Lytechinus pictus: one gene and its partners. The protein of the gene in region 1 purifies or fractionates together with the protein of each later gene. This does not show direct contact. Links are inferred from orthologs where the notes say so. Each region holds a gene or a part of one and is shown in the gene's direction. Other genes may lie near its edges. The genes, in order: replication protein A 70 kDa DNA-binding subunit-like, replication factor C subunit 2-like, SWI/SNF-related matrix-associated actin-dependent regulator of chromatin subfamily A-like protein 1 and DNA polymerase alpha catalytic subunit-like.

The links.
Region 2: the proteins of replication protein A 70 kDa DNA-binding subunit-like (region 1) and replication factor C subunit 2-like purify together in Homo sapiens (affinity purification with mass spectrometry, with the first as the bait; 3 studies listed by BioGRID). This does not show direct contact. The link is inferred for Lytechinus pictus from reciprocal best matches to the Homo sapiens genes RPA1 and RFC2.
Region 3: the proteins of replication protein A 70 kDa DNA-binding subunit-like (region 1) and SWI/SNF-related matrix-associated actin-dependent regulator of chromatin subfamily A-like protein 1 purify together in Homo sapiens (affinity purification with mass spectrometry; 8 studies listed by BioGRID and IntAct, with this or other methods). This does not show direct contact. The link is inferred for Lytechinus pictus from reciprocal best matches to the Homo sapiens genes RPA1 and SMARCAL1.
Region 4: the proteins of replication protein A 70 kDa DNA-binding subunit-like (region 1) and DNA polymerase alpha catalytic subunit-like purify together in Homo sapiens (affinity purification with mass spectrometry; 3 studies listed by BioGRID and IntAct, with this or other methods). This does not show direct contact. The link is inferred for Lytechinus pictus from reciprocal best matches to the Homo sapiens genes RPA1 and POLA1.

The regions. Positions count from the first base shown.
Region 1 is NC_087246.1:17,170,312-17,177,782, forward strand, and holds the start of replication protein A 70 kDa DNA-binding subunit-like, read left to right. Parts: upstream 1-4,446; 5' UTR 4,447-4,653; coding exon 4,654-4,686; intron 4,687-6,627; coding exon 6,628-6,675; intron 6,676-7,295; coding exon 7,296-7,383; intron 7,384-7,471. UniProt on the Homo sapiens protein: As part of the heterotrimeric replication protein A complex (RPA/RP-A), binds and stabilizes single-stranded DNA intermediates that form during DNA replication or upon DNA stress.
Region 2 is NC_087246.1:1,561,195-1,568,084, forward strand, and holds the start of replication factor C subunit 2-like, read left to right. Parts: upstream 1-3,862; 5' UTR 3,863-3,978; coding exon 3,979-4,082; intron 4,083-6,890. Other genes in the region: gamma-tubulin complex component 4-like, read right to left, coding at 57-247, 694-806, 1,702-1,843, 3,482-3,559.
Region 3 is NC_087257.1:19,978,691-19,985,951, forward strand, and holds the start of SWI/SNF-related matrix-associated actin-dependent regulator of chromatin subfamily A-like protein 1, read left to right. Parts: upstream 1-4,233; 5' UTR 4,234-4,405; intron 4,406-7,261. UniProt on the Homo sapiens protein: ATP-dependent annealing helicase that binds selectively to fork DNA relative to ssDNA or dsDNA and catalyzes the rewinding of the stably unwound DNA. Rewinds single-stranded DNA bubbles that are stably bound by replication protein A (RPA).
Region 4 is NC_087260.1:5,130,464-5,137,457, forward strand, and holds the start of DNA polymerase alpha catalytic subunit-like, read left to right. Parts: upstream 1-3,972; 5' UTR 3,973-4,234; coding exon 4,235-4,265; intron 4,266-6,994. UniProt on the Homo sapiens protein: Catalytic subunit of the DNA polymerase alpha complex (also known as the alpha DNA polymerase-primase complex) which plays an essential role in the initiation of DNA synthesis.

The DNA.
Region 1 (7,471 bases):
CTGAACGCTGCATTATTTAAGTCAAGTCAACCCTTACCCCATTCCCTTCCTTTGACCTTATCAGGGCTGCTCCCCCTACCTCCCTCTATTATAATATGCATACTCTATCATGCTTTGATATGCCTGATAGCTCTTTATATCTTAACTATACTCTGTCTCATTTGTCACATTTTCTAAGGTGTTCAGCAAATTCCCTTTCTTCTAGCCTATCTTTTCTTGTATTTTCTCTTTAATCTGGATAAGGGTCGTTGTTGCTTCATCGAGTGTTCTATTAACAGTGGCGGACAGATGGGGGGCCTTGGGGAGTTTGCCCCCCCCCCCACCAAAAAAATAATAATAATAAAATAAAGTATTATAAAATAATTCAACACCAAGAAAAAAAGGAAAGAAATTAAAGAAAGAAGGGTGAAATGTGATTATTTTCTGAGTATTACGTCATAATCTATCACAAAATTAGATTTTTGTAATAAGGCGACATTTTTGCTTGCTCGCTTTGCTCGCTCACAACTTTACATAAATTTTGCCTGATAGGCCATTTCTGGCCCCCTCACTGATTTTTTTTGGCTCATTTTTACAAACTGTATACTTAAAGGTCAAGTCCACCCCAGAAAAATGTTGATTTCAATAAATAGAGAAAAATCAAACTAGCGTAACACTGAAAATTTTCTCAAAATCGGATGTAAAATAAGAAAGTTATGACATTTTAAAGTTGCGCTTATTTTTCACAGAACAGTGATATGCACAACTCAGTGACATGCAAACATGAGTCAGTCGATGATGTCCATCACTCACTTTTTCTTTTGTTTTTTATTGTTTGAATTATACAATTATTTCATTTTTTACAGATTTGACAATAAGGACCAACTTGACTGAACCATACAGTGCGTCCCACAAAAAACGAAACCGAGATTTATCGATGATTTATCATAACTTAATCGCAAATACAATAGACAAATGACCTACCATTTTAAAGCTTAGAATCTCATCTTTCATCTGAAGTTACTTAGATTATTTTTCATTCACGCATGAGTGAGCAAAAACAATTTGAAATGGGGATACCAAAAAGTCACTTGGCGGGCCGTATCTGGGTTTTAAAAAGAAAACCACATTTTTAAAAAGTTCAATATCTGCTCTTTAATTTGATACCTCAATTACAGAAAATGGTCAAGAAATAAAAAAGTTCTGGTTATTTGAAATAAGGCTTGAATTTCAATAATTTCATAAAATGAAGAGGTTTTACAGGCTAGAGTTCACACTCACTCGACACTCCGTTTTGTTGACGATCAGCCATGCATTAAGTCTTTTGTTACCGTGCGATAGCTTCAGTGGGAAACCGGTGAAAACACGTTTATTTAATGAAATTATGGAAATACAAGCATTGTTTCGAGGGATCATAACTTTGTTACTACTTGACCATTTTCTGTGATTTAGGTATCAAAGAAAAGAGAAGATATTGAACTTTTTAGTCATGTGATTTTCTTTTTGAAATTCAGATACCCCCCGCCAAATGAGTTTTTGGCATCCTTTCTTCGAATTGTTTTTGCTCAATCATGCGGGAATGAGGAATAATCTAAGTAATACCAGACGCAGTGGCGTAACAGGCGGGGGGGCAGGGGGGGCAAGCTGCCCCCCCTGGCGGAGCTCACCGGGAAAATAAAAAAAAAACGGGAAAAAGAAAAAAAAGGGGGAAGAAAGGGAAAGGGAAAGGAAAGAAAAAAGGGGAAAGGGAAAGGAAAGGGGAAAAGAAAACTAAAAAAACATAAAAAAGGGAAAACGGAAAGATAACGGGAAAAGGAAGGAAAAAAGAACAAGTGAGAAAGAACAATTCGCCCCGATATACAAATACATTAGCATGATTAGTAAGACGGAAATAAATTAAAGATGACAAAAAGGCAAACAAAAGGGACAATATAACGTACACTACCGGGCTGCCGAGGATTGAGATAACGAGCGGGAAGAAAATGGATGGTTATATAGCATAGTTTCGTATGAAAGTCTATCATAAACTTGCTAAATCTCCAAAGGCTCTGTCCAAGAGTCAAGACCCCGTGCAGTGGGGGCTCTTCCTCTGTAACCTTTAATGGGTTCTATAACGGGCCCCTATATGGACCCTTCCTGCATTAAGCTTTACGTTGAAGCACTGGCGTACCGGGGGGTTGTTCCACAGCCAAGGGGAAATAAAAGAAAATAAAGGAGGCAGCGAAATGAGATGAATGAAAACAAATATATGACATGATATTTTCTTTAATGATGTAAAAATCTATCACATAATTAGAATTTCATTTTAACAGGCCATTTTTTTTCTGGCTCGCTTCGCTCGCTGGCGACTTTTTACAAATTTTCCCACATTTGCTATGGTGTGCCCCTCACAATATTTGGATGATTACGATACACAACTGCATTGAATTTATGTGTTGTGTTAAAGCTATATAAATATACACGCAATTTGATTAAAATAAGTGGCCATCTGTAAGGTTTAAAATGGCTTTGATATCAAGAGGTTCCGGGGCTCTGCCCTGGACCCCACCCATAAAGCACTGTTATATGGATGAGTTTGGACCATGGCCCCCAAAAGTTCTACAACCAAACAAAAATATGAGGAAAGAAAGGAAAGTGTATTATATTTTTCTGAATATCACGTTAAAATCTATCTTCATTAGATTCTCATGAAAAGGTGATTTTTTTTAATCTCGCTCGCTTCGCTCGCTCGGGACCTATATTAAGCTACTTCTTGCCAGAAGCGCCATACTCGGCCCCCTCGAGCATAGAGCTTTGCCCTGATGCTCACAATCATAACAAAAATCCTGTTCACCGTGGCGTACAAAAAAAGAGAAAAGAGGAGGGTGAAATATGATATCTTTTTAACATTATGTCAAAATCTATCACAAAATTTGATTTTTGCAATAAAGATGTCAAAATTTTTGCTCGCTCGCTTCGCTCGCTCGCTTATATATACATGTATATATATATTTGCCCGATACGCCATATCGCCCCCTCAAAATTTTTGCCTTATGATGCCATTGTCTGTTCCATGATATGACCGGGAAATTTTTGGCTCTTGCCCCCCCTGGCCACCGACCCCTGTTACGCCGCTGACCAGATGAAAGAGGAGATTCTAAGCTTTAAATTGGTAGGTCATTTGTCTATTTCATTTATGATTAAGTTATGATAAATCATCGCTAAATCTCGGTTTCGTTTTTTCTGGGACGCACTGTATAATATTAAACAATGTTAATTCCACATGTTCAGGGAGGAATTAATCGTTGTTTCACTTGACAACAAGGAGAAAATTAGAATATTTCATATTTCAGATAATATAATACAAAAGTAAAAGTGAGTGGATGACGTCATCAGTCTCCTCATTTGCATACCGGCCAGGATTGTCTTGTGAAAATAAGCGAAACTTTAAAATGTCATAACTTTCTTATTTTCCATCCGATTTTGATGAAGTTTTCAGTGTTATGCTAGTTTGATTTTTCTCTTTTTATTCAAATAAACTTTTTGTTGGAGTGGACTTGTCCTTTAACTAGTATGCGATTCAACAATTGGGCATCTCCTCGATCCGAGTCCACACCAATTACGTGGAGCGGCCTTTTAGCTTGTTCCCACACTCTTTCCATCTCCTCCATGTTTCCATATATAGATTTAGGTATAGGTTTATTCTTCTTTACTGCAAAAGAACACAAAATAATCTGTTGTCATTTTACATATAAATAGTTCGTATATATGTAAAAGACATAAACAGGCTGTTTCCATGCAGTGGATTCCCTGTTTTATTTTCTGCATTTTATATTTTGCATTATTTGTAATTTTTGGAAATAAACAAAAAGAATAAATGCAATGCAATGCAATCAATCAATATTTAACCGAAATTCTTTGAGTCTGCTGTTCAGAATGAGAATAGATCCGTATGCATGGTCTTAGAAATATGTTGTGTCCTTTTTTGTAATATTGCTCTCCTCAAGTTTTTAAAATGCCTGGTGTGCATTTTCCGTAGTTCTCATAGAGAGCATCATTTTTTATGTGATGACTTGCAAGGAAATTATTCTACCCTTAAATTGAAAATCTCTAAATTTAAATTACTATCTCTTTGGCTTGACCTTATTTTCGCCAGCTCCGAATCTTAAGAGGATCCTGCACTAGTCAATCGATGGACAATAGATTTGCCGATATGTCACTTTTTGTTGTGTGAAAGATCATTTTATAAGTCTGTAATAATTGCTTCCCGGCCAATATTTCAATTTATTTTAAGTAAAAACACCTTGGAATTTGTTGATAGTACCTTCGCCAAAATTGTATAGCCTACATTTAACAATGAGATGGGCCGATAAATTCTAATCTGTAATTGATCCTTTCTTTCCTTATTGACTGTGAGAATTGCTTGTGGATGTTGAGATCGAATGGTCTGTTGTACTGCGTGGCCTCATACAATCTACACTAGCTTCTATCAGCTGTGCACGTTCGCGCCACTTGGCGGGAGAGATTCGAAGTTGAGTTCGAGCGAGCGCTTAGCCCGTACGGCCGTGCACGTATACTTGGTATATAGGAACAAATAAATGCGTATGTTGACCTGTGCAGAAGCCTGAGATAGTTTGAGCATTCGTCAAAGAAACACAAATTCTCCACTTTTGCTCACATTAATTCATAAAGAAAATGAATAATTTGCTAACCAGAGGAGCCATTGCGGTAAGTCGATGCCCATCCATGGTGTCGTTCACTGCCAGTCACCCAGTGTTTGTTGTTGATACTGAGACTGACTCGGCTGCTAAATCATGTTAATTGTTATGGCTTATGCTTCCTCAAGTTCCTGAAACACATTGACTCTCGTCTCTTTGATTATTTTTCAATATCAAGAGTCAAGTTTGAGCCTAACGTTAAATCAAAAGCTTCAGTCTCTGTTTTGTTTTTGTTCGGCATGCATAACTAACTTGTTACACTTTTCTTCACTAAGTAACATTCTAAATTAATTGGTGGTCCCCAAGTCTGCGCGCCTATGAAACTACATGCCTAACCATGCTAAAGATTTGAGTTAAGATTTAACATGAATTTCCTTTTATTTCGCAAAGTCTTTCATTTGATAATGTTCCTTATATGTTGTTATGAGTAAGTGCATGTGCCAAATATCTCATAAAAATTTGAAAGAAATAGATCCAGACCCCTATGACTGTACGATTTTCTTGGAAAAAACCTTCGGCAGTCATTTTCAGATTGAACAAAAAAATGGTGTCCCATGTCTGCGCATAGCCTGAAGTTGAGGACTCCATGATGATGTTTTTTTAATATTTTGACATATACTTCTTCATCATGGAGCCTTGAACCTAACCGCCGGCCATATGGATATGTATAAGAGACACATGTAGTTGTTGTTTACACATGTAAACACAGGTGAAATCGGTTTGTAGGGGTGAATTTTATTTACATGAATTTTATTTTCATGCGCCTGCCCTAATGCGTATAAAGGGATAAAAATTATTTCACTATAAATGGTAAAAATGAGACGTTTCTTACCAGACCGATCTCCTGTAGATCCCTCGATCCGTTTGTCAATAAAGCAAATACAATACAGCCTGACCCTTGAACCGCTTCGTTATGACGTACATCCGATTAGCGATGCCGTTTTGAAGAACAATTTATAGATAAAAATTTTTATTTCACAAATACTAAAATTTAATACGTGATTATAAATAATTAGTATAATACTAGTAATAGTCACTAGTGGCTGACCTTCTTTATAGACAACACAAATTACTCTTTGGCATTTTTATTCAAAGGGATTCACACTCACAACCTTGCAATCATGAGTCCAATGCTCTTACCACATGACCCAGTTAGAAAATTATGTATTTTGCAAAATTTAACTTTGTCCTATATTCAGTGTAACTCCACATTCCATGATCACATAATCACATCAGATGGCAAATCATAATAAAGAAAGTGATTTACTTTTCATAGTTCAGTTTCAGTATAAACAAAAAAGAAGGTATGTCTCAATCTTGAGGTGCGGAACTTCTTTGAGGGGTTTTAAAATGGGCTATGTACATGTCTCCTAATCATACTAAAATTGAATCTTGATCTGAATGTGTTTAGTGTATGGGGGACTTAAAGCTACCAACTTTGTTTGCAAACAATAGAAACTCACAATTTGAAGATATTTGAACAAATTTTTAAAGTATATTATGTGTGGTAAATATTCTAAAAATCATCCAAGAGAAATGGTACAGTGTATGAAAAAAGTTACTAATGAATTTCCTATAAGTATTTTCCGAACACCTCTTTCGATATCCCCGCGCAATTTTGAAGGGGTCCTAAATCTACGCACTTGATTTACCATGCAAAAATTAGTGGATTTCCTGTGCCTCAACTTCCAAAATATGTTCATATTATTGTACCATATGAAAATAATTAAAGTGTACATAACTTCAGTTGCTTTTTTTTGCATTTTGGGATTTATTGCAGCCTCGGCAGGAAATATGGATAGGAATAATTCATCACTCCAGTTACAGATCTATAGAGTGCGCATTTTGCCATTGAAAATTAGTGGTGCAGAGCTTTTAGGACCTACATAGCTCTAAGACCCCATACCATAATTGTTTTTCATCTTTCTTTACTTTTTCTATTTCTTTTTAGGCCATTTTCCAAGAAAAAGTTGTCAGTTGCCCTGTATTACAGCTTCTGGTAAGTATAGATGGTGATATTACAACAGGTTCATGAGAAAATAATGAAAATCCTGCAACATACAATTGGAGTAAACATAAAGTTCACATGCAATTCGGCAATTGCACACAGACCAACTGCTAAATCTGTAAATTATATTGTATCTTAGAAAGATTGTCATGCACTTTCGCCTGATTCGTATTCTCTAATATTGAGGTAAATATCTTATTTTGATCTTCTGCATATAAACAGGATAGGTGGGTTAATTTATATTCATCTTCACTAGAGTGTTTCAGATGTTTATGCACATATCCTCACCAGAAACTTTTTATTGTTGAGGTGCGGTGAATTCAAATGAATAGAATAATTATTAGTGACGAGATGATGGTATGATGCTATTTTAAAAGATATATAAGCCTAAGGACACATGAGTAAAACTTTTTTTTTACTCATGTAAAGGTGTTTTTTTTAAACAAATGATTGATATTAAATTTTGCTCAGTTATTTTGTAACCCACACGGGAATGCATTAATAGTTAATATTCCAATTAAGAATAAGCCCTTATGTGTGAAAGTAAATTTGTCATGGCAACACAAACCACAAATTTCCAGATAGATTATTTGGTATTTGATTTCATGCAGGCTTGTAAGAAGATGAATGCAGCATCCAGTGGTAAAGCTGTGGATCGTTATCGTCTTATGCTCTCAGATGGAGAGCATACATGCACAGGTAAAGATGGTTCAAGTTTAAAGAAACCAGTTGCATATCAAGAAAAAACAGCATCTGTGGCAAATTTTGCACCAACTTTTGATGTTTT
Region 2 (6,890 bases), about 16 Mb from region 1:
ACTGCCTAAACCCGATGAAACAACCAATTTGAAATCTTTTGAAAATTGAGACTCACTTCTGTAATGCTTTCTGAATAACAGGCTGACCACAATCACAGTGCCTCTGCAGTAGGTCTAGGATCTGGCCTCCATGATAGCCCTGTGTCTGGATTTGTTGAGCTAGTGATAATAGGGCTGGGAACAGGGACTGGAATGGCTCCAGGGTGTGTTGTATATGACCTACAGTCAGGTTAGGGTCTGCTAAAATCTTTGTAAGAAAAAAAAAAATATATATATATATATATATATATATATAACAAAACAAATTACAGTCATTTATCAAATCCACTCTACTTAACAAAGAACATGGAAAGTATAAAATATGAAGACATCAATAGTAATTAATTATTCAAAAACACAAATCATAAGTTGTGTGAAGAAATGAAATTTCCTGACAATTACTCTTATTCCAGACAGCTGAAGATTCTGAAAATTTTCAAAAATTTCCTGAAAGTTCCCAGCCCTTTTCAATATCATTAAAACTAAATGGTTTAAAACCAATTGAGTAGTAAACCACAGTGACAATTAGATCATATGCAAATTAAATTAAATTGTTAGTAGACCATGTGGGTTTAGCCATTCTAAAAATTAGACCATAAGAATTAGACTATTTGGTATACTTAGACTAAGTGGATATCAAGCAATAATACCTACATCCTGTTCCAGGTCTAATAGAGCTTTTCTGTATGGTTCCAGGACCTTGTCTAAACCTGAACAGAATGTCCTGAGATACAATCCATCAGGGAGTCTATCCACTGGCTTAATTTCTGAAAAGAGACAAGAACATTTCACATTAAGTGTGACCAATCTTACTATTTGCTCATATTCATGATTTATTAAAACAAAGGAAACCAAACTTCATGACTGTTTGTGAGAGAATTTATTTTAGTAATTATTTTATATAAGTTGCAGAACAATAATGTTCAGTGTTGATTCGACTGAACAATAGCATATATAGTTCCCAATTTAATGCTAATGAGATGTATTGTAGGAGATTACTTACCTTATTTTTCTAATACACCTAATACTAAACACTGCCAAAAAGGACAACTTGTTAGTTGAAAGAAATCTTTCTATTTAAAGAATTTTCTAAAGGTTTCATTATTAATATTTATGCCCAGCTATTTCTGTTTATCTCGGGTCCCCTTCCCTATCTAATATAATAAAAATTCCCTGAAACAAATCAACTTTCTAACTGAAAGATTGATTTCTGAAAAGATCTATTGTATCTAATAATACTTAATAGGAGCTTTTATGGAATGGAACAAACTCCCTCTCACAATAAGACAATCCACAACAATCGAGTCCTTTAAGAAGTCCCTTAAAACTCTTTTGTTCTAGGCAACTGCCTTCATTTAATATGTCATTCTGCTTTTTTGTTTGTATAAATATGTTAACTGAAATTGTGAGCGCTTTGGGCCATGTGGGAAAAGCGCGTTATAAATATTGAGTATTATTATTATTATTACTATTATTATGAGATTGAATGCACAATCCAATGATTGCTATTTTGTTCTCTATTGCTAACAAGATCAAACTGGGAGGAAGTATAATTTTCTCACAGAGGGGTGTGCCAAGTCTACAAACTGAATTTCAATGTAGGTCAAAGCATAACAGCACCTCAAAATAGAAAAAAAATCCTTCTGTCTTGTATAAGTTTACCTTGATTATGTTTCCCTAAGTAAGGACTGCCACTGTATCTTTTGATGAAGGTCTGGAGATTCTTATAAATAGCCCCTAAACGACAAACTCTGTTGAGTACACTGACTTCACTCACATGGATAAAAGGAAGATCTGGAACAACCTAGAGGCAAAATAAAGAAATATGATAATAAACACAGATACATGCCTTGAGATTCAAGTATGCTTTCCAAAATTTCTTGGGCCTCTGCCTCTGATATATCCTGGATCCACTCCTGGTCAAGATTACAATGTTAGTTTAGATTATACCGTTTGTTTATGAACAAATCACGTACTGCTGGCTTCATTTAAGGTGTGAAGGTTTTTCTAATTTCTTCTTTAATTTATTGTTCCAAAAAAATAATGTTTTCCAAAGATTGCCATAATTGAGGATGAACTGCAAGGTCTTTTTTCAAAGTATTTTATTCTGTTGGTGCCCTTATTTCATCAAATAATAAGAGGATTGTGCAAATGATGAATTTTGACAAAGTTAAAATTTTGCCGATGGGCTGAATTAAAACTGTGAATTTCATTAGCCCCACCATGTATCTCATCTCTATGGTCCAATCCAATCTCATTGAAACCACTGACCAAGCAATTTTTATTCATTTTCTTATTTCAATAAAAAAAAATCAATGATTTTTTACTACTCTCAATGCACAGTTTATTCAGTCTTAATTAAACCAATTTCAGGCAAACATTACTTACTTTATGAATAATAATAAAATACAACATTTATATAATGCTTAATACAATGTTTCTAAGTACTGCAAACTATCACTTACTTGCTCACTTCTTTTCCACATAAAAGGGTGGTGGGTAACGTTATATTATTGCACAGGATTTTAAATAGAGTTTACAATCGGATCAAAAATTGCAATACAATAATCTTAATTTGATTAACTCAAAGAATCATGGAAGAAGAAAAATTGAAGAAGAGGAAGAAGTAGATAGAGAAAGAGGAGAAAGAATAAGAAATAGAAGGAATAGAAGGGGAGGAGCAGGAGGAGGAAGAAGAGAAAAAAAAGAGAAGAGGAGAAGAAGAGGAAAGTGAGAACAAGCAGGAGGGGGGAGCAGGGGAAGAAGAAGACAAAGACTTTTTCAAAGAGGATGAGGAGAAGGAAGAGGAAGACAGAGAGGACACCTGAGGAAGAGGAGGAAGATTAAGAGCAGAGAAGAAAAGAAAGAAGAAGACAGCGGAGAAGTAAGAGAACAGGAAGACGAGGAAGAAGAGGGAGACAAAAAGGATGAGTAGGCTGTAGGAGGAAGATGAAGAGGGACACCTGAGGAAGAGGAGGAAGAGCTAAAGGAAGAGGAAAAAGGAGGAAGACCGAAGACAATGCCAAGCCCAAGGGGAAGAATCACTAGAGGGGAGGAGAAGAAAAACAAAATGAGGAAGTGAAGAAGGAGAAGAACAAGAACAAGAATATTTACCACAAGACAGTTCCAACCTTTCATTTTCAATTTCATTTCGACGTAGGCCTAGGCCTAGATCATCTATCTAAAACAGGAAGCAAAGCACCTAAAAAAATAAAAGTAAAACCTACCAGCACCTTTCACTTGTCACTCATCACATTCACAAGCTGTGCTTTCTTAGTTGCTACCTCTTTTGCTTTGTTCAAGTTCTTAAAATGTATTGATGCTTTATTTATCATTGGAAATAAATGTACTTCATTCATTCATTCGTTCGTTCATTCATTCATTCATTCATTCGAAATTAGCTTAACATCAATTGGAATGAATGGGACTGGAGTCTAATTACCTGTATATCACTGTGCCCATGTTCCATAAAAATACCCCCAGGAAATCCATTCAGAGCCATCAGTAAGTCATGTAACATCTTGGTTGCAATCTAGATGATCGAATCGAAGAGAAAAATCATGGATACAGACTTCTGCAGAGTCGGAATTGAATATTTATCAGGCCCGTTTCACATTAGGTTAATGAATTGTCTGCAGATAGAGTCTATTGCCTACTAGAAGAAGTTGTTCTTTGAATAATTTATATTGATTTATAAAGATGTATGATGATTCTTTGTTCCTTTAAAATAATTTATAGTTGTAGAATTTATTTTATTTTCGTCTTGCAGTTTAATTTTTATTATTTATTTTCATATTTTATTTTAAAGTACCTAATAAAATCTACTTTTTAGTACGAGCCTGTATTTCACAATCGCGCGAAACTTGTGTGGAGCTACTGTTATCTCTTAATATCATAAACGTTTTTATTAGTTAAAAATAAATTAAAGTACATATTAAAATGGATGAAGTAAAATCTAGCACTTCTTTGGATCCTAAATCCAAGTCAGGAGAATCTGGAAAGTCGGGGGGAGCTGGAAAATCGACTTCCTATGAGATGCCTTGGTAAGTGACTTAGCCTTCGCCCTTGGTCCCATTAGCTATAAAATTTGTTGGTAGAAATTCTAGAATTATTTGGGTCCAGGCCCAGGGGCCTGGGGCCTGTTGCATGAAAGGGTCTTTCGTAGAACCATTCTACGTAAGAACGAGATATCGCTCAACTGTTTCACAAAGCCGATTTGGGCGATACGAAGAATGGTCCTTGGAAAGACACCTCCAGACATGTCCTACGTAGGCATGATCTTCTTTGCACACCGCCCGCCACCGTCTGCATTGAGAGAAAATGCGTTTATGGCAAGCCACACTGACATATCACCTTTAAACATTTTTGGCGCCAAGTTATTATATGGGGGACTAGTTGTCATCAATTTTAGGTCGTCTGTTTGCACGGCAAGACGACCAAAAACAGATGTCATTTTAACTTCTCCGGGCATTATGTCCGGGGGTAATGTTGTAGGCCCAAATATTTTTATAAATATTTTTCCTTTTAAGTTTTATTCTCCGTCCTATCCCCACACCATTTCCATTAATTTTTTTTTTGAAATATCGAAATGGGTGGCACTATCTCTCTGACCCTCATGCTTTCTCATTATAGATAATTAAACAACATGAAAACAAATTTCTTTAAAATAAATTATGTAGGCCTAAGGTAAAAACGTGTTTATAACGTTTAGCAAAAAAAACACGATACAAAACTAAAATGTTAAACATGGTAAATCATTCATTTATTTTTATTTCATTTTCATTATAATTATTTTTTTTTGCTGAGATTAATTTTAATCAATAAAAATTAATTGTCGGATTTGGGCTAACTGGAGATGTGAAACAGTGAAACAAAACAAAAAATCTGCAGTAACAAAATAGCTCATTGAATTTAAGATACAGATTAGGCCTATAGCTTACGAATCCATCACAATTATTACAAATGAAGATAAGCTAGTTCATTAAAGAAAAGATTATGGAAAGTCCATACAAAGAGGCGCATTTTAAATCGTAGGGTAGGCCCTTTTCGGCCCCTATGCAATGTTAAAGCAATAATGTAGTCTCTATACTCCTCAACTTTGAAATGTTGAACATATATATTTTTTATATTCTTAAACCTTATATTCTTATATAAGCTTCCATAAATTAAGTGATCGACTTTAAAGATGACCAACGTTTATGATCATTGTAATATTTAGCATTATTTCTGTAAATAGTATTTTTTCCATTGCGGATTGCACACCGTTTTCTATGTTTTAATTGTTATTGCAAAGCACTACTTTATCCACTTGGACATGTTTGCATATTTTCCTTGTCTTCTGTTACTCATCATGCAACTGGTATGTTTATACCCTAAACACTCATATTTGTATTTCTTGCGTTATATCTGACAAATAAAATAAATAAATTAGATTTTTCACAGGCAGCCTCTCATATTTTCCATTTTAGTCTCATACAATCAGACACTGTTGATTTTGTTTACTCCATTCAAACCCTATTTTTACCTCAACAGATAACTTATTCACGCATAATTTGCAAAATCATCATTATATATATGTATTCAATAAAAAATCAGTATATTGAACTAATAAAATGTCGAAATTACTTAGTTAAATCAATTTTTATGTCGGACAAGGGTCTGTTTCGTTTAAATATCAATGAAAGGTGTCTCTAAAAGGACACTGTGTTCTAAATAAAGAAAATAATGAAAATTTCGATTTTATCCAGTTATGTTTGTGAATCTTGAAAGTTTTTTCTGTTTTTGCCTCATAAAGTACGCTCCATACATCAATTCTACAATCGGTAATAAATAAAACATTATTTGATCCCCTTTTATTGAAATATATGATTTTATGAAAAGCCGTCATTCCAAAATAAAAGGTTCAGGTGACGATGAAGACTAAATATTTTTCCGATACTATCGATATCAAACGATGTCACGGACTTGAAAGACAAAATAATTGCATTCGTGAAACGGAAAGCGCTGATTTGTCGCCAATCTTCCTATCTCGGAAGAATGGTCCTAGGACGTTCCTACGTATCGCTCATCTCGTCATGCAACATGCCCCTGTTTCACGAAGGCAATTTTGTCTTTCAAGTCCGCGACATCGTTTGATATCGATAGTATCGGAAAAATATTTAGTCTTCATCGTCACCTGAACCTTTTATTTCGGATTGATGACTTTTCATAAAATCATATATTTCAATAAAAGGGGATCAAATAATGTTTTATTTATTACTGATTGTAGAATTGATGTATGGAGCGTACTTTATGAGGTAAAAAGAGAAAAAACTTTCAAGATTCACAAACATAACTGGATAAAATCGAAATTTTCATTATTTCACTTATTTAGAACACGGTGTCCTTTTAGAGACACCTTTCATTGATATTTCTACGAAAGAGACCCTTGTCCGACATAAAAATTGATTTAACTAAGTAATTTCGACATTTTATTAGTTCAATATACTGATTTATTATAGAAAACATATATATAATGATGATTTTGCAAATTATGCGTTAATATGTTATCTGTTGAGGTAAAAATAGGGTTTGAATGGAGTAAACAAAATCAACAGTGTCTGATTGTATGAGACTAAAAAGGAAAATATGAGAGGCTGCATGTGAAAAATCTAATTTATTTATTTTATTTGTCAGATATAACGCAAGAAATACAAATGTGAGTGTTTAGAGTATAAACATACCTCAGTTGCATGATGAGTAACCGAAGACAAGGAAAATATGAAAATTGCTGCAAACATGTCCAAGTGGATAAAGTAGTGCTTTGCAATAACAATTAAAACATAGAAAAATGTGTGCAATCCGCAATGGAA
Region 3 (7,261 bases), on another chromosome or scaffold:
CCCCTTTTCTGACAGTTTATCAAAAATTTCGTTTCGCGATTTGCGCTTGCATTAGTATTTACAAAATATCAACTCATGAATCCTATTCATATTTACAAAAGTGCTTATATCCGGTTTTCAGGCCTCACTGTCAACAAATTTCACTCACTCACTAAATTAATCCCATGATGGTGATATAACAAGAGGAGTTCCAATTTTTCTGTGTGAATTTTTCTTAGCACAGAGGTATAGAAGCCATTAGGCTTATTACATTAATAAATATGATAATAAAATTTTCATGAATTCCTAAATAACTAAATTGTTCCTTTTTCAGAAAAATATCGACAAGTTTCATATCGCGCTCGCACTAATTAAATAGGGCTTATGAGATTATTACACTTTTATGTTGTTTTATAAGAATAAAGCTAAGAAATGACTGTTATGACATGGGCGTTTTGCCCCCCCCCTCCAATTTTTCACGACCAAGAAAAAAAAGAGAAAAGGAAAGGGATAATGGTGAAATATAGGCCTATTATTTTCCAAGTGTTATGTAAAAATCTATCACAAACTGATTTTTCTAATTAGAATGTCGAATTTTTTGCTCGCTTGCTTCACTCTCTCGCAAGTTCTTAATTTTAAGCGATACACCGTATCGAGCCCCCTCAATTTTTTTTGGCTCATTACGCCACTGGGACAACCGGCCCCTTCAAAGAAACAAACAAAAATCAACTTTGAGCGGCCGATAGGGGAAAATATGGCCGGTGAAACAAACTTTTCGCCCCCCCCCCCTATTGGCGGAAGCTGGATCCGCCCCTGTACTTTTGTTACTTTTTCTTTTCCTCAAAACTCATGTTAATGAAAATGGTACACATGTTTTTGTATTTTGTCCGTTTTTCAATGAACAGAATATTGGTTGATGCCATGAGGTTCAATAATTTCTATTCGATTCAACTGATTCGTCATTTACCTGTGGATTGCCATTTTTTAAAGGACAAGTTCACCCCAACAAAAAGCTGATTTGAATAGAAAGAGAAAATTCAAACAAGCACAACACTGAAAATTTCATCAAAATCGGATGTAAAATAAGAAAGTTATGATATTTTAAAGTTTCACTTAATTTCACAAAACAGTTATATGCACATCCTGTTCGGTATGCAAATGAGGGGACTGATGACATATCACCCACTCATTATTTCTTTTGTATTTTATTATATGAAATATGAAATAGTTTGATTTTCTCATCATTGTCATGTGAAACGAAGTTTCATTCCTCCCTGGACACGTGGATCTCCATTATTTTAACATTTTGTGGTTCAGGCAAGGAGGTCCTAATTGTCAAATTCGTAAAAATTGAAATATTGTATAATTCAAACAATAAATAACAAAAGAAATAGTGAGTGGGTGACATCATCGACTCTCTCAGTATATCACTGAGTTGAGCACAGAACTGTTTTGTGAAAAATAAGCGAAACTTTAAAATTTCATAATTTTCTTATTTTACATCCGATTTTGATGAAGTTTTCAGTGTTATTCATGTTTGATGTTTCTCTATTTATTTAAATCTACTGTTTTCTGGGGTGGACTTGACCTTTAAAGCCGCCACAGACATCTGCCCGAATTATCTGCAACGTACCCACAGATGAAAGATGTATGTATACAGAGCTGATTATACGTTCATTGTAATTTTAAGCTGAGTATATAGTATTATAATAGGCTTATAGGCTATCACGTGGAGCGTTGTGGCCCAGTGGATTAGTCTTCGGACTTTGAAACAGAGGGTCGTGGGTTCGAATCCCAGCCATGGCGTAATTTCCTTCAGCAAGAAACTGATCCACAGTGTGCTGCACTCAACCCAGGTGAGGTAAATGGGTACCGGTAGGAAGTTATTCCTTAAAAAGCTGTGTGCGCTATGAACGCCTAGCTTAGCCGATTAATATAGGAGCGCCTTGAGCACCTAACAAGGTGGATATGTGCGCAATATAAATACCCTATATTATTATTATTATATACTGTTAAAGATAATTTAAACAACGTTTACTATGTGAATCGCACAATAGTTGTTTAAACTGCATTTTTATAAGTTAAAAAAAACATGCTTAAATTATTGATTATTAAATATTTGAATTTAAACTTTGTTGTTTAAGATTTTAAACACTTGGTATAAATGTATAGTTTAGCATAACTAATTTATTGGTTGGATTGCTTAACTAAGCTAGTCGTACAGACTGTTTCACCCTAATTAGGCTCATCAGCGACTCTGAAGTTTAGCATAACTTAATTTCCAGGGGTACTATACGACATACGCAGCATCCCTTGGAAATCAAGTTGTTATGCTGCATGTAGACGTCGTTTGACCAAAAATCACTTTCATTTTGGAACAATAAATAACCTGGGTTTTTCCGGGGGGATGACCCAAAACACCTTCATTTTGCTTTTTTTCCCCAAAGCAGCACCCTCTTCAAAAATGGTTCAGACCCCGCCGCATCACAGTCATACATGGGCGAATCCAGGGACCCCAAGAACCCCCCCCCCCCCATTGGCGGCGCAAAAAAGAGAAAAAAACAAAGGGGGAAGAAAGCTAGGTGGGAAAAATAAAAAGAAGGAAAACTTGAGGAAAAAAGATGGAGGGGAAAATAAAAGGAAGAAGGCGAGTGAATTAAGTAATGTGAGTGCAGATTTTAGAATTGAAAAAAAAAATCGCTCTCGCTTCGCGCTTGCATTGCCTGTTTGATGATATAGCCTACATATATCTTGCTCAATCGACTGAAATAGTGCTTAAAATATCCAGTTTTTAAAGGACAAGTCGATCCAACCCAACAAAAAGTTGATTTGAATAAAAAGAGAAAAATCCAACAAGCAAAACACTGAAAACTTCATCAAAATCGGAGTGAAAAAAAAAGAAAAAGTTATGACATTTCAAAGTTTTGCTTAATTTCGATCACAAAACAGTTATAAGCACATCCTGGTCGGTATGCAAATGAGGAGACTGATGACGTCATCCACTCACCTATTTCTTATTTTACTACATGAAATATGAAATATTCTAATTTTCTCCTCATTGTCAAGTGAAACATAACGATTGATTCATCCATGAACATGAAATAGCATTGCTTAAACTATATGATTCAGTCAAGTTGGTCCCTATTGTCAAATCTGTAAAAAATGAAATATTGTATTCAAACAATGAAAAACAAAAGAAATAGTGAGTGACGGACATTATTATAGACCGTCTCATTTGCATGTCACTGAGTTGTGCATATCACTGTTTTGTGAAAAATAAGTGAAACTTTAAAATGTCATAGCCTTCTTATTTTACATCCGATTTTGATGAAATTTTCTGCGTTATGCTAGTTTGATTTTTCTCTATTTTTTCAAATCAACATTTTTCTGGGGTGGACTTGACCTTTAAGTCAATATACAAAACGAATTTCAGCTAGGACATCGATCGAGCTTTCATTATGATTTTGTTTGCTTTACAAATTGATTTTTTTTAAAGTGCTCTCATGTAAAATGTATCGTTTTATAATTGGTCTGAATATCACAATTTTTCAGCTCGCGCTGCGTGCTCGCATTATTTGATTTTTGAAGTAGACCTATACCAACAGGTATATATTCTCTTCGTGTATAAAGATCCCTTTCTATATATATATATTTATATATTTATATATACATTTATATAGTTTTCAGGCCTTATACACTGTATCAACAAATTTCGCGCTCTCATTAGGCCTGTTATGAGATATGATCCTTTTTTATGAATTCTTAATCCTGTTCCCTTGGCCAGATGTCCCGTTCCTTTGTCAAAGCTACGCAGCCTGTTCTTTATATAATTCGTGCTTAAATAACCCAGTTTCAAAGCAAAATATTAAAAGATTTCTCCCCCCCCCATCATTCTCGTTCCCATTATTATTGTAGAAAGATTCACATCCTTTTCAAATACTAGTAATAGACAGTCATGTTTTTAGGTCTAAATCCAAATTAGGGGGTTATTTTGCACACAGAGAAAAAACTCGTTTAGGGGGTGTTGGAAATAATTTCACGCATGTGTACGTGTACAGCAATACATTTGACTGCCCCCGGACATTTGTGCTAATTAATTGCTAGTCGATGTGTGAAGATTCACTTTTTAAAAATCAGTTTCAATTGGGGTCTGTGCCTGCAGACTATAGAATCACCAGCGCAATGCTTGTTTGAAGTATATGTAACCAAAAATTTGATTGGCTTACGGAAGAGTACACACAGAAGAAGTTAACAGTACACGGGATGTGATTGGATTACCACGCACGGTCATTTACGTCGACTGCTAGCTAAGGTTTGGCAGAATTCCAGTTTGCAGTTCAAACGGCTCTGGTCGGTCCCTGATGACAGTTTAAATGAAGCAATCAACAGATTGATATCATCTTGAAGACAAGAGACGAATTTACGGGTAAGTAGTATAGCTAAGTAAATGAGATCGTTCAATTCAGAGATAATAAATACGAACCTGCAGGCAGCTGATGCGCCGCCTGGCCCCGGATGAGTTTGTGGGCTGACAGCGAGAATGACACCCTGGAGTATACGGGTGAGCTTGGGGCGCTTCCAACGTCCACCGCGCTCCCATTGCCATTGGACACGGGTATCGGCGTTATCTGAGTCTGAGCTGAGGCGAGCTGTCCTATTTGAGGTCAGAGGAGCTAACTAAAGTTTAGGAGGTGGTGCATTGAAATTCGGTCTGTCTCAGAAACATAGATTTATTAGTTCTTAATTTTACTGTTTTTTTTTTCTAGCTTGAGAAAACTGTTGTGAATTGATTTGAATTGTGCATTAATTGGGGTTATTTGTGGTGCATTGGCTTGCCAAAATTTTGTGATTGTTTGTGGGCATGTGATGTGGCATCAGACAGTAGACTAACAAGTTTTAGAGCCTTGGCTTGAGGCGCAGCGTGGCCTTGAGGCTTGAGGACTCCGTGATGATATTTAAAAATATTTTTACATATGATATACTTTTACATGATCACGAAGCCTTGAAACCCTCGGATACCCTCCCCATCATGCCCATACTTGCCTAAGGCTAAGCGGGACATATCGACATGTAAACACGGATGGATTTCCCTAGGAAGTCCATAATTAAAGCTAGAAATCACGTAAATTTGTTGGATTTTATTTATCTTTGTATACACCTTCATACGCCTAATGCGTATGAAGGTACGAAAAAACTGTTAGTACACTCGACAAAAAAAGTTCTTGGACACTTATAAAAGTTAAAATATTCCATATAGATATGATTAAAGGCAAATTATTGTCAGTTAACATGACCAGACAATATTCCTCTTCCAGTATGACATGACATTTTCATGTGAACAGTCATGCATGGGTGGTTAAATGCTTTAAACAATACAATAGCAATGTCAGTAAAAGAAAATTGCAAGAAATGGCTAATGATCATGGCCATCCTGTAGGCATACATTCAACAATTTCAACAGGTGGTTATCATTTGAATTGAATGCTTAGGGATGCATCATAAGATGCAAAATGAGATGGATCATTTGGACACTCACTTTCAAGATGAAGCTTTCCAACCAAGAGTGTGCAAGAGCAATAGAAATGTTGCAGTCTGGGCAGTCATTTAGACAAGTGGCTCGATATTTCCAAGTTTCACCAACAACAATTTCAAATTTGAACCAGCGGTATTTGGCTACTGAAGTTAGAGACCGCCCTAGGAGTGGTCGACCTAGGGCCACCAACCCTGCAGAAGATAGGATAAGGATAATTTTCTTTTGCTTATGCCAAGATACTGAAATTTGACCCTTTTTTTTATCGACTAACTTTGACTTAAAATTCCAGTGGAATAGTGATGCATCCAAGGTGGATAACTTTCTCTTCACTTTTAGAGTGGTATTTGACTTTAAGTTTTCTTTTATCGTTTAATGGATATTCATGCCACACAAACTTTCACAACTGAAAGAATGACTGATCGTTTTCTTGCAATTTTCTTTTACTGACATTGCTATTGTTTAATGCCTGTAACCAGGCATTAAAGCTTGAGAAAACTTGAGAAAACTGTTGTGAATTGATTTGAATTGTGCATTAATTGGGGTTATTTGTGGTGCATTGGCTTGCCAAAATTTTGTGATTGTTTGTGGGCATGTGATGTGGCATCAGACAGTAGACTAACAAGTTTTAGAGCCTTGGCTTGAGGCGCAGCGTGGCCTTGAGGCTTGAGGACTCCGTGATGATATTTAAAAATATTTTTACATATGATATACTTTTACATGATCACGAAGCCTTGAAACCCTCGGATACCCTCCCCATCATGCCCATACTTGCCTAAGGCTAAGCGGGACATATCGACATGTAAACACGGATGGATTTCCCTAGGAAGTCCATAATTAAAGCTAGAAATCACGTAAATTTGTTGGATTTTATTTATCTTTGTATACACCTTCATACGCCTAATGCGTATGAAGGTACGAAAAAACTGTTAGTACACTCGACAAAAAAAGTTCTTGAACACTTATAAAAGTTAAAATATTCCATATAGATATGATTAAAGGCAAATTATTGTCAGTTAACATGACCAGACAATATTCCTCTTCCAGTATGACATGACATTTTCATGTGAACAGTCATGCATGGGTGGTTAAATGCTTTAAACAATACAATAGCAATGTCAGTAAAAGAAAATTGCAAGAAATGGCTAATGATCATGGCCATCCTGTAGGCATACATTCAACAATTTCAACAGGTGGTTATCATTTGAATTGAATGCTTAGGGATGCATCATAAGATGCAAAATGAGATGGATCATTTGGACACTCACTTTCAAGATGAAGCTTTCCAACCAAGAGTGTGCAAGAGCAATAGAAATGTTGCAGTCTGGGCAGTCATTTAGACAAGTGGCTCGATATTTCCAAGTTTCACCAACAACAATTTCAAATTTGAACCAGCGGTATTTGGCTACTGAAGTTAGAGACCGCCCTAGGAGTGGTCGACCTAGGGCCACCAACCCTGCAGAAGATAGGATAAGGATAATTTTCTTTTGCTTATGCCAAGATACTGAAATTTGACCCTTTTTTTTATCGACTAACTTTGACTTAAAATTCCAGTGGAATAGTGATGCATCCAAGGTGGATAACTTTCTCTTCACTTTTAGAGTGGTATTTGACTTTAAGTTTTCTTTTATCGTTTAATGGATATTCATGCCACACAAACTTTCACAACTGAAAGAATGACTGATCGTTTTCTTGCAATTTTCTTTTACTGACATTGCTATTGTTTAATGCCTGTAACCAGCCATGTACTGA
Region 4 (6,994 bases), on another chromosome or scaffold:
GAAGTAGGTAATTTTTATATCATAGACCAGGGCAACTTTGCATACAAGCTAATATAATGGTAATTTTGCCATCCCATGGTAATGCTAATCACCAACCAATCAAAATCAAAGATTCCAGACAAGTTACCCCGGAATGGCAAAGTTTACCATATTACAATATTCTATGAAATTGGGTCTTTGTGATCAGTTTCCAGTACTGTATCACAGGAAACAATCATGTATCTGATCAATTACCTGTTTTACATATTAAAAATGTCACAAGGGGAGTTTTGAAATTACTATTATGAACATTATATGACTTAATTCCTATCACTTTATTTTTTATAAATCAACTTGATTCAAAGCCAACCTGTAAATAGTAGGATGCTTCTCTTATCTGAGGGGTGTAGGACTGACCAATCTTGGTTTGGATTTGTTGAGGATGATGGGACTTGTTTTTTTCATCTTGAAGATTTTCAACAGTTTCTTTGAGTTGTTCAATCTCCTGTTGCTTCTGGGCGACCTTGATTTTTTCTTGCTCTGTGTATTTCTTTTGAATTCTTTGACGTCTTCTCTTTTCTTCTTGCAATTGTGCTCGAAGTCTCGTAATTTCAATTGTCTTCCGTTTTTCTTCACTCTTTGTCATTTGGTAGTTTATCCTCCATTCCCTTTTAGATTGTTTAAGTCGCTTTATTGTTTCGGTAATCCGTTTTCTTCCACCTCTTACACTGCCAAATATAGATGTGAAAGACTGAACCTTTTCTTTATTCTTTTTCAGTTCCTTCTCAAGGTGCTTCACTTTCTTCTTGTAAGTCATTACTTCCCTCTCTGTTTTTTGTACTATGTCCTTGAATCTCTCAAGTTCTTTTCCTAAATTTTCTACTTGATCATTTGAATAGACTTTTCTCTTTTTAGGACTAGCAGCATCGTGATCTTGGTCTACTTTAGCATTCTTTGGAGGTTGAACAATTTTTCCTGGGGGCTCGAAAGGTTCTTGCAGATAGTTGACCTTCACATCATTTTGGTCTTTAGTTTGTTTTGTTTTGTTTAGTTTCATGTACCTTCCATAGATCCTTGTTAACTTGGTCTGAAGGGCCTTTAAAGAACATTCAGAGTCATATTTGTTTTGAACTATTTCATGAAATTGTGACCATGTAATTCCCTCTCCTCTTGTGAGTTTTGGCAGTAGATCAATGACAACTCCATTAGTAATCCTATCAGCTGGTAGCTGGAGCAGATGATCCACCTCTTCTGACATTTTGGCCATGATCTTATATTAAAGCCAAATAATAATATCTGGAAGGCAAAATAATGATGCAACCTTGCTGAAAAAACCCTTTAAACAATTGAATAATAGTTATTACAATTCCATAATTCAGATTTTCGACCACAGTTCATATATGAAGAAAAATTCCTGAGAACGTAAGTGCCATTAAGATAAAAATCATGACACCTCATGATAAAATACTGGAAGAAAAATTACTCCCCCCCTCCCCTTTCCCAGTGCAGTGCAGAAAAAAATATGTGCAATAATGGTGCTGAAATTGTTAGGAGTACATGACACAGAAATCATTTTTTTCCAAGAATTTTGCGAGAACAAAACATGAAAAATAGAACGAAAAATTCAAACAAAACAGAACTCTAAATAATAAAAAAATAATAGATAAGAATCTTATGTTTCTTTCTTGAATATTTAAATTTCTCAAGCTAGTCATATGCTAGCTGTAATCCAGCATAGAGATCTTGTCATGTGGCATTAGCCAGATATGGTCGTTCATGGCTTCATCCTTGGCCTGGACTGATGTTCACAATCGGCCTGGAAATTTTCTCGCCAGTCGCCAGACATGCGGATGATGAGTTGATAATGGACTCGATTTAGCGTTTTCAGGAATAGATTACGAAACCTGAAGGAAACAAAAATAATAATAAAAGAAAATAAATCAAATCATAGTAAAAAAGATTGTCAATAAGGGCTTTGAAAATAAAAATACATGTGATTTTCATAGAGATTTAAAGGAAAAAAATCATAATATAGAACGGAGCACCTCCCCCCCCCCCCCTTTCACCAATTTATTTCTGAAAAAAAATGTAGCATTTTACAATTTATTAGTTTACAAATAGAAACACTGAGTGTGTAAAATAATCGATTTCCCCAAGTCTATAATAGATCAAATATTCATAAAAGGAAAAAAAATTTAAAAAATCATACCATATTCCGATATCAATACATGATCTAAAAATAAAAAATAAACTGAAGACAGTGAAAACAAGTAAAAACAAAAGTCTGAGAATAAGATGTAAATCCATCATGATTCATAATGAACAGGAAATAATAGGTTGTGTGCTTTGTTATGCATCTAGTTCATTGTAATATAACAAATTTTTAAAGTGAATAAAATGTTAAATTGGTCCATGACTAACTAATGAAGAAAATAATATTACCTACGTAATAAGTGAGTGCAAATGTGCACACTGAAAGCGATACGCGGGACTGTGCAGGGCAGATGAAGCAGACGCCAAATCCCCCCCGCGAAATTCAAGAGCGCGAAGGCGCTAAATCGCGACAATTTTGCCTGCAACAGGCCTGTGCATCAAGCTGAATCGCTTTCATCCGCTAAGTTCTTCCCACGTAATTTCGGTGTTAAATTAAAGCTTAGAATTTCATCTTCATCATGAATCATGATGCATCAGTGTGCAAGTAATATAATTATTCATAAAAGTCAAGATTTCTACAAAATCAGGCAAATTTGGTACTTACAAGTGATTTTCCAGGCCTCTCGATCGTCGTTCGTTGGTTCGCTGGAAGTGCCGATGAGTCAGATGGTAAGTCTATACGTCACACAGCCATATGGTGTCTAAATCATTTTTCTAGCATTCGATATATACATGTATGAGTGGATTGAAGAACGCCATGCCATGGCTCTGGAGCTCAATTTCGCTTCGTCACGCTGCCGCCGCCGGTCGCAATTTTTGTACAGCGAACGGAGCTCGCGAAAAAGCGCCCTCTTGTGATGCGTGAGCGTGCCTATCTAGGCTCTACTCTACTCTCTATTTTTTAGTCTAGACTCTAGTCTCTAGTACTCTACTGACTCGTACTCGTTTGACCTTCATCCATATAATCGTGGTAAGTGCATAATTTCTGTTTTCACAATTCATTTGGAGAAATATTTAGACCATAAATCACGCTAGTCCTGTGAGTATGGTCAAATACACGGTAAGCCCCTGGGCTCCCGCCCGCTGCGCGGGGGGGAGTTCCCTGGGTTACCCCTCTGCCGGCTGCCTCGGCCCGGCTCTGCCTCTGCACTGCCTGGACCTCTGCTTCTGGCTCTGGCAGGATTTCCGGCGAGGAAAAGCATTAGTAATTCCATGAATAATTGTAAATGATTTTTCCTGAATCAGCACTAGGGAAGGGTTCGGGACATAAACCCCCGGAATATACTTGAATAAACCTAAAAAGAAAGCAAAACGTATTTTATCAACTTAAAAAATATTTACCCGAGCCTGGTCCTTGCTCCGGATCCGAGCTGAGGGTGCGGGTACGTGGATTAAGTTGAGGCCAATTTTAATTGTTTTAATTCATTTAAAAACTTATTTTTTTTTAAATATGCATATAAAATCATCAACTAAAAGGTAAAAATATATGATTTGAATATATTTATTTTATTTATCTACACTTAGGAATTGAAACAAAATAATAACTCAAAACTTTTAAAATATATTAATTATAAATTTTAGAGAGATTGTTGTGGACGAGTTCACTTATTATGAATGGAAAGCTGATAAAGAATACTTTATTCAAATCTATATTCCCAATTCTATTTTACATAAGCTTATGATAAAACCTTAAAATAATAATAAAATATGTATCCTTGAATTTTTCTGATACATTTAAACCATTTTAAGGATTTCGTGTAAATTAGTTTTAGATTTGCAATATGATATTTACCCATCTAACAAAATGGACCAGTCTAAATCAAATTTCGCGCGGAGTTTGTTTTTCTGGCGCGCCATTGTTCATGTCGATCCCCAAGTACGGGGACGGAAGCGCCGGTACGGTGAGCGAAGTGGCACTATTTTATCACGGCAGTCCGTCCGCCTGATCTTTCGACGGTGCCCGGTCTACAGTACAGGCTTGTGTTTCCTCGGCTTCACTTGGGCCTGGGCAGATTCGATGCTTCACGACTGACACAATTTACCCACACGCTCCCCTTACCTGGCTGCTGATTTGCTGCTGATTTAGATCTAGATCCAGAGGATGGCACCAGTGATGGATGACAGAGAAAATGGTAAAAAAAGTTAGGATGGGGGTCGAGTGTCCGGACACTTTAAAAATTTTGAAGCCTCCTTTTTTGTCATTGACGCTCTCCGTTCTCACTAACAAGTAACATAACGTTACCGTCCTTAGTAAAACTAACTAGTAGTAACTCATCTAGTTTTCTGGAAACTAGTTAAACATGTATTGTACTAGACAGCTGGCAGCCGTCTGTTTCGAGGAGTTTTTTAACATTTTTTTTTTTTTAATTTCTCCTCATACTGTCATACACAGACGTGAGACGGCTCGCTAGCGTGCAGCCACCATTAGGGGACTTGCAATGCAAAATCCCCCCGTCGGGGCTCTTCAATTTTTGTCTTTAATGAGTACAAATTTTGAAAATTCACGCGACCAAAATGCAAATTAACATTCCCTCTTGGCATCAATTGCCAAAAAACGGAGAAAAATCAAGTTAAAAGGAACAAAAATAGTGACTTACCTCGGCTATCGCGCAAATTCACTTCCCCGTTTTATCCGATCTTAAGTACATAAACATATGGCCATTGAGTCCCCTGTACAGATCGCGCTAGAACTTCGGTCTCTGTATTTGGTGGGTGAAGCCAACGGAGTTCAGCTGAACAACCAACATAACAGAGACCGAAGCTTTTGGTCTAGTATTGTACATGAATGGTTGAAGTGGTCTTTCAATGATTTAAACCACTTCACGTCTTTAATAGGTTAGTTACATGAAATGTAATTGTATTTGTAAGTGGTTTTGACAACCACTTTTAATCGGGTGATCAAAAATGTGACTTCTCGAAACTAGACACAAGTCGCGTGGTGAGAAGTTGATATAAATAATGGCAAAGTACAAAAAAGTACTTGAACGTTTTGAAAATTTCGATTTCTTCATATTGTGGATCTTGGCCCTCTCTACCGTGTTTCAAGTTCAAGAATGGTCTGTAATTTAGCAAAAGGGATAGGCCCTAGATCAAGTCAAAGACAAAGCCAAGTGAAAGTGCAGAAAAACAGTTTCTCTGCGAGTAGATCTAGATCTATTTTTTTTTTTGGTTTATAAAACGAGCGAGGTTTGGGAAAGCTTAATTTAGACGTCAATTTTCCCTCTGCATAAAGCTCCGCCCCCTAGCGACACATGCATTCACTAATTATTGGTCATTCATCACGTGATTTCGGCAATGAAATTACGCAATTTATGACGTGTGCTTAAGTTCAATTCATGATCACTGCACTGTTCGGACGATTCAAACCAAAAAATTGAATTTGAATAAAGTAATTGAGCAAGAAATCCATGATCAAGGGTGGTACTTAAAAGCGTACATGTTTTGGAAAGAGGTGCCAGGCGTGTATCAAGATAAAACGAGCGCCTGCTGGACAAAAGAGTTAAACGCTAAGAGGTTTGAAAGAAGTTTTAATGGTTTGATAATCATGACTCATTAAGATGATACAAAAGCGAGGACAAAAGGCGATCGATGGACCTGACCCTCCCCTCATCCTCCGGGTCTGAGAAAGACAGAACAAAGCCTAAGGTCAGCGAATTCTATAGGGATGGGCCAGATCAGCATGGGTCGGGGATAGTGAGGATCGAGGGATAAATAGAGCAACCACTAAAAGAAGGTGAAAGAAGGCAGTTGACTTTTGGGTTTAAATTTGATTGCAAGTTAAAGTCTAGAAGCTAGAAGGGCACTGGAAAAAGAGCATTATTCTGATCACGCTCGGGCTCTTTCACTTCGCTCCAGTGTTTTGAATAAAACACCAGATGACACTTTGAAAAGAGAGATCAATTTTAAAACTGAGCTACAAAATGTGTTTTTAAAGTGAATACGAGTATTTTGGTAAGAGTTCCATATGCACCCCCCACTAAAATTGAAAATAAAAACATGGAGAAGGTTCAGAATAATATATCTAGCCCTAATATCGAACATACATGTATATGATGGGGAAGTGAAAATACATACCAAAATATGGCTTTATTCCGTCAAATTTCGAGCAAGATCTTGTGCGTGTAATTGTCCATAGACATCGGTTTATTTAGTCAGTAAAGGGTCTGCGAGTCAAGACTAGTCGAACTATCGGCTGATAATCGTAAAAATACCCCTTCCGGTATCAGCGCTTCTTGCTAGCATAGCGGGAAAGGTCTTGACTGCAGATCAAACGAGGTGAGTTCGAGTCCCAACTAAGGTAAGCAACAGTAAAAAAAATGATAGAAAAATCTGAAGTGAACGAACCGGAAGTCTCAACAATCTTTTGTTATTTTTGGTGGGGGGTGCATATGGAACTCTTTCCAGTATTTTCAGTGAAAAAAAGAAAAAGAAAGGGGCGGCAGATCCAGGGTGAGAACACGATAAAAAACAAATTTTACACAAAATATTCATGCGTAGAATCCACAAAAAACAATTGATTTGTCAGTACTAATTCTTTAAAACATTGATTCTTTAAAATTTTGATTTAATACTTATAACTTTATTTTTAAATTGGACAAAAAAGATTTAAAAAAACAAGAAGTAAAATGCAGAGAAGTAGAAAGATGACATGACAAAAATTATATTGTGTTTTGATGGAAAGTGTAGTTTGACCAACTCAAATACTCTTGTAAAAACTTGGTTTAATGAAGATGCATTACAGGGCGGCTCACCAGCTCATCTTAAAGAAGGTGTGAAAAAATGTTTGAAAAAAGGAAGAGTTAAGAAAATAGGGGAAAACGTCCGATTGGTCAATAATCGTGACCATTGTGCCTATGGTTCT